Rattus norvegicus: one gene and its partner. The protein of the gene in region 2 interacts with the protein of the main gene of each other region in a biochemical or structural test. Links are inferred from orthologs where the notes say so. Each region holds a gene or a part of one and is shown on either strand. Other genes may lie near its edges.

The links. The genes of interacting proteins can lie anywhere in the genome.
Region 1: the proteins of Erbb4 (region 2) and Nrg2 form a complex in vitro, tested with the Homo sapiens proteins (2 studies listed by BioGRID). The link is inferred for Rattus norvegicus from reciprocal best matches to the Homo sapiens genes ERBB4 and NRG2.

What each region holds. Positions count from the first base shown.
Region 1 is NC_086036.1:27,892,177-27,894,557, reverse strand, and holds part of Nrg2 (pro-neuregulin-2, membrane-bound isoform), read left to right. Parts: coding exon 1-625; 3' UTR 626-2,381. UniProt on the Homo sapiens protein: Direct ligand for ERBB3 and ERBB4 tyrosine kinase receptors. Concomitantly recruits ERBB1 and ERBB2 coreceptors, resulting in ligand-stimulated tyrosine phosphorylation and activation of the ERBB receptors.
Region 2 is NC_086027.1:78,042,720-78,046,451, reverse strand, and holds the start of Erbb4 (receptor tyrosine-protein kinase erbB-4 precursor), read left to right. Parts: upstream 1-845; 5' UTR 846-878; coding exon 879-960; intron 961-3,732. UniProt on the Homo sapiens protein: Tyrosine-protein kinase that plays an essential role as cell surface receptor for neuregulins and EGF family members and regulates development of the heart, the central nervous system and the mammary gland, gene transcription, cell proliferation, differentiation, migration and apoptosis.

The sequences.
Region 1 (2,381 bases), on a different chromosome or scaffold from region 2:
CAGCTACCGCCTAGCGGAGCAGCAGCCGCTCCTGCGGCACCCAGCGCCGCCCGGCCCGGGGCCAGGGCCCGGAGCGGACATGCAGCGCAGCTACGACAGCTACTACTACCCGGCGGCGGGGCCCGGGCCGCGGCGCGGCGCCTGCGCGCTGGGAGGCAGTTTGGGCAGCCTGCCCGCCAGCCCCTTCCGCATCCCGGAGGACGACGAGTACGAGACCACGCAGGAGTGCGCGCCCCCGCCACCGCCGCGGCCGCGCACGCGCGGCGCGTCCCGCAGGACGTCGGCGGGGCCGCGGCGCTGGCGGCGCTCCCGCCTCAACGGGTTGGCTGCGCAGCGCGCACGCGCAGCGCGGGACTCGCTGTCGTTGAGCAGCGGTTCGGGCTGCGGCTCGGCGTCGGCCTCGGACGACGATGCGGACGACGCGGACGGGGCGCTGGCGGCCGAGAGCACGCCTTTCCTCGGCCTGCGAGCGGCGCACGACGCGCTGCGCTCGGACTCGCCGCCGCTCTGCCCGGCGGCGGACAGCAGGACTTACTACTCCCTGGACAGCCACAGCACGCGCGCCAGCAGCAGACACAGCCGGGGGCCGCCCACGAGGGCAAAGCAGGACTCCGGGCCCCTCTAAGGCCTCCCGCCTCGCCCGCCTCACGTCTCCGAGGAGAGCGGAGACCACCGACTGGAGAGGGAAAAAGGAGCGAACAAAGAAATAAAAATATTTTTATTTTCTATAAAAGGAAAAAAGTATAACAAAATGTTTTATTTTCATTTTAGCAAAAAAAATTGTCTTATAATACTAGCTAACGGCAAAGACGTTTTTATAGGGAAACTATTTATATGTAACATCCTGATTTACAGCTTCGGAAAAAAAAAAGAAACAACAAAAAAAAAAAAGAGAGATGGGCCAATTTTTTTGACTCTTTAATAGAAACCTATATTGTGGTGCCTTTTGCTGTACGCTAATCTGGGGCTCCTGGAGAGCCGTCTGGGGTGCAGTGTGGGGATGGGCGCTTATAGGATCCCAAACTGGTGGGGGTGAGAAAAGGCAGGTAAAGAAGAGACTGTGAGGTTCTAATGGTTCTGAGGGTAATGAACAATGAGGAAGAAGATGAAGATAAGACGAAATTTTATCTTCCCCAGTCCAGATCTGGAGTCCTGAACAGAGAGGGCAGGGATCCTAGCCTTCGAGCTGGAATTGAGATGGGGTTATTTCCAGGAGGAGACACAGGCCTCCCGTTACAGCAACTAGAATGGGGAAGGTCCTCCCCAGCCCTCACAGCTGCTAAGGGAAAGAGGACAGAGAAGGCTGTCTCCCCACCAGCCCCCCCGCCTAGGGAGGGGGCAGCTCTACCAGGGGCCCAACCTTCATGGCTCCTCCTCCCCTGCGGCCTCCAGGATGTCCTCTGTCCTCTGCAGCACCTTCGTTTACAGGTCGTCTTTTCTATTTTACGCCTGCATGTCCTTCGCATTTCAGATTCTTTAGATTGAATGCATGGTCACGCTGGGACCCGGAAGAGCCACTCCAACAGTGTATTCGATTCCCCTTTTAGCAATAAAGTAACACCATATCCTCACAGCCCAGCTCCCAACCCACCTATGACTTTCATCTTCCAGTCCTGCCCTCCCCAGCCAGCCCTCACAACTGGATCCAATGCTAATTTGTCAAGAAAAAAAAAAAAAAAAAAAGAAAGGCAGTTGTCTAAAAAGCCAACAAAAATCCCGAACAGAAACAAATGGGAGCCCTGACATGTCCGAGCACCTGACTGTTGACACTTGAACATTTTTATATTATAAATAAAATCAGAAATAACTCCTGTTTGACTGTGTGTACCTAGCCCCAGGTGAGGAGGGAAGATAGAAGGAGGGCCTAGGATGAGGCATGTGGGTACTGGAAGAAAAATTGGATAGGGCCAAGGTAGTCCCCGAGCGGAAGTGACCCTCTCTCCAGTCCCTCTGGCCCCAGCTCCCAGGACCTGCTCCAAGTCTTCCTTCCAAATCATTTATAAGGTGTCCCCCTGGGTGCTAAGGAACCCAGCCAAGGGACTGACGCAAATCGTTCTGCTTTAAACTCAGCCTCAGAACTCTAGCCCAGTTCCTGCCCTGCAGCGGGAAGCTGGACTGAGGCAACAGTTTTCTGCCCAGGTGGGTGAAGAGGAAAGGGTTGTGGGGTTGGCACTGGGGCAGCGGAGGCAAAGATGACCCTTGGGGCTTCAGGCATGTCACAGGCAGAGTCTGGACATGTAAGACAACATAATGGGCACCCTCATTGCCAGAAGGACCAGAACAGCTGCTGCTCCTGAGCCCACAGGATATTGCTCCTTCCCTAACTGTGTACCCCCCTCAGAGCCAGGGCCTGTCTAAACATGCTGCTTTGATGGTCTGAT
Region 2 (3,732 bases):
TTTGGGGAGTGTCTGAGCCAATAAGATTTCTCCTTAGGGGGAGGGCGTGGCTACATGGGTCAGAGCAGGGGCGGGGCTTGCGCAGCGGAGGAAAGCCTGGCTGGTTGCGTGGAGGGTTGTTTGATTCCCACCCCCACTCCCCTCTTTTTTTCTTTCTTTTCTTTTCTTTTCTTTTTTAAAAAATCTTTCTCCCTGAGTCTTATTAATTTCTCTGTGGGGCTGCGGCTGGAGACCGCGGAGCGTTGGAAATGACGCTCGGAGCTTTAATTACTGCAATGGCTGGACAAGTGTGAGGAAAGCTGACAGTGGAAAAAAAGGGGCACAGGATCGGGGAGAAGGAAAGAAGCACCCCCCCTCCTTTTCCCTCCAGATTTGGACAGGAGATGCAAGGAGACTGAAGAGAGAGCTGAACATAGCCTGGTTTTGGGGGGAGAGGCCGGAACCCTGCCGCCTCTTCGCAATCAACTTTTTTTGGAAGCCTTTATTCCCCCTCTTTCTTTTTATTGTTGACCAACCAGTGAGAAGGAGAGAGAGCGAGCGAGAAAGTGAGGAGTGAACGGGCGAGCAGAGGATCACTCCGGAAACTAGCTGTACGGTTGTGCTCGGAGCACCAGCCGCACAGTCGCGCACACTCCCATCCGCGCGCCCTCCTTCGCGGCCCCTTGCTGGGTCCGCGGGTCCCCGGGTCCTGGAAGCCGCCACCAGCGCCGACTGGCTCGCCAACCCCGGGAAGCCCGTGCACAGAGCGCGCCGCGCCCGCCCCCCTCGCGCCCCCCACGCGCTCCCGGCTGAGGGGGGGAGATCTCCTCCGCGTGCCCGCAAGTGGCTATGGTATTTGGACATGTAATTGTCAGCGCGGGATCTGAGACTTGCCAAAAATGAAGCTGGCGACGGGACTGTGGGTCTGGGGGAGCCTTCTGGTGGCAGCCAGGACCGTCCAGCCCAGCGCTTCTCAGTCAGGTGGGTCGCGGTCTCGCGGTTCCCAGTCGCGCTCCAGCTGTTGAACCCGCCACCGCCTCCGGTGGCTCCCTTCTCCCCTCGTTCCTCTGTCACCCTCCGGCTTGAGGGACCGTAGGGACCTTGCTTCTGGCTTGGGTCGCCCCTTGCTCCATCCCAAACTTACCTTTGTGTGTGCGTGCGTGCGTGTGTTTTTATTGATGCTACAAATGACTCCTCTTTCTTGCCTCCCTCTGTATTATTGTCCCCCCTCTCGCCCTCTCTTTAGCCCCCTTCTTTCTTTCTGGCGCGTTTTCTGGGAGCCTAAGCGGGATCGCTTCTGGTGGCGCCCGTTGTTCGGGGCGTGGGAGACCTAAGCCCCGTCAGTGGAGGTTCCCTCCTCCTCCGGCTGGGAAGGGAAAAATAATCAAACCAAACCGGAGAATCTCTGCACCTCTTCGGGCCGCCAGGAGGTTCCCGGGCTGAGCCTGGCTGGCCTTCCCGGGGTGCAGGGCTGCGGCGGAGCGCGGCTGGGGAGCGGGGTTGGCACCTGAGCAAGCTGGCACGCGGCCGCCGGCCCGAGTCTCCCGTACCCTGCGGGGTCACATCGGACGCTCAGCCCTATCCGGGCAGCTGGAGCGCACCGGGTGCGCGCCTCGGCCAGAGGCCAGGGACTCTGGGCCTTCTTGGTTGGCATCTCGGGGCTGTCTTTCGATTGACTTGGGGCGAGAAGGGGGGGGGGGCTGGCTCGCCTGCCAGCAAGATCTCTTAAGAAAAAAAAAATCCTGGCATACTGAGCCCGGAGCCCGGCCTTCCCTCCCGGTGCTGGTCTTGGCTCCGGGAAGAGTTCTTCCAGTAGTGCAACTTGGGGTTGGCCTGAACTTCTGTTTACTGCCCCGCCAGGCTGCAGAGCCCGCGGGTGGCACTCATTGACTTAGCCCGAGGCGGGCCGGGTGGCGGCTTCCTGAGTGCCGCCACTGTTGGCCCGATCGCCCAAGCCCTAGGTATTTGGACAGAAAAACGACTAATTGACCCCGAGAGGCAGCACAGAGTCGCTGGCGTGCTGGGGCCGCCAAGGCCAATGACAGCGGCTGAGACGTAGAGGAGCTCAAAGTTTTTTGACTCTTGGGAGTTTCTCCCGGATGAGAGGAGGGGACACGAAAGGACTAAGGAGAACCGGTGTGTCTGACCCGGCTGAGAGGGGCGAGAAGAGGGCTTTTGGAGAAGGCAGAGAGATTTCCGGAACCTTCCGGGGCTGGTGGCGGGAACGTGGGAGTCAGCTTGAGAAGATAAAGCGTTCAGCAGTGGCGACAGGGAGAGCTTTAGGTCCCTAGAGGGTGTCCTTCTGACCTCACCGAGAAAGCGGCTGCTTGCTAGTTTTCCCGCTCCGCCCCCGCTCCCGCCTCTTCCTCCTCGCCTAGTAAATAACAAGTTACAATCTCTGAGCTGTTCAAAATGACCTTCGAGTGGCACAAGCTCGCCATTTGTGCTGGCCGTTTGCATACTCCCAGTGACTCCGAGATTCTTCGTGCATTCCAGATCCTGCGCTCCAGCCACCTCTGGAATCAGAGCGGCAGCAAGGACTTGAGATTCCAGGCGGCCGCCTAGATACATCCCTTTCTAGCTTCCCACTCGGAGCCCCTTGCCTTTCCCTTCAATGGGTTGATTATGCACATTGACCCATTCAAAGACACTCGCAACTGTCATGCAGGCTTAGCCGAGAGGAATTTCTATCAGGCCACCCTACCAGGGGGCTGTCTGGCATGGCCTGGGCCGCTGGGAGATCCCCCCTCAAGTCCACAGCAATTGGTATTAACTCTACAGCTCCCGGTTGGGCTATGCCGAAGAGCCCTTTTCAGAATTTAGGCAAGGAATGTAATCCAAATTAGTTCTGTAGCTGTCCCCTTCCGCGTCTCAGACGACACCAGCTTGCTCCTTAGCTCTCTCTGCTCCTTTCCCTGGGCGAATTGTCAGACCCACAAGTGAGCCCATTTAGAAGCACAAGGATTAGCGTGCCATTGTTGTTTCGTGTGTGTGTGTGTGTGTGTGTGTGTGTGTGTGTGTGTGTGTGTGTGACTCTGTACTTGAAATTCTGGGGACACAAAAGAGAGACTCACTTGTTCAAAACACAAAGTGATCTAGATGAAAGGGCCGCACAAAGAAAAGCTCTCGGGTGCATCCCTGGTATAATTGCAACAAGCATACTTAGGTGATCTATTGGAAACTGTCTGTGCCCCCAGGGACTTCTTTTTTTTCCAGGCGCCTCCACCGCACCTGGCAGAGAAAGTTCAGCTGGTTTTAATGTAGTGCTATTATAAAAACAAGACGCTGTCTGGTGAGAGCGAGGCTCTGTGTTTGCGCCTGTGCGTGTGTGGCTGTCTATCCAAGTAAATACATAGCGCGCGTCTCCTCTCTCGCGGTTAGCAGTCGGCAGCAGTTTGGAGGAGTTTGTTTTGGTCCAAATGAGAAATTAAGTGCGGATAAGTAAACTAAGCTGCCAGAGGGCGACAAGATGTTGAGTGAATTGCTTTTAGATGAAACAAATTAAGGAAACGAGGGAAGACAATCTGCTTCTCGCATTATTAGACACGCTTGGAGTTCAGGGGGAAGTGGCATATTTTTGAAATGCTAATTTCTTAAGCAGAAGGAATGCACCTTATTTACTGCTGGATGTGAACGGAATAAAAACATACAGTGGGTGATTCCCTTGTGCGATCTTCAAGATGTTTCTAGGGAAAATTTTACGTAGGAAAACTTGCTTTTCCTTCTGCTTGAGGGGGAAAAAGTCAGCTTTTG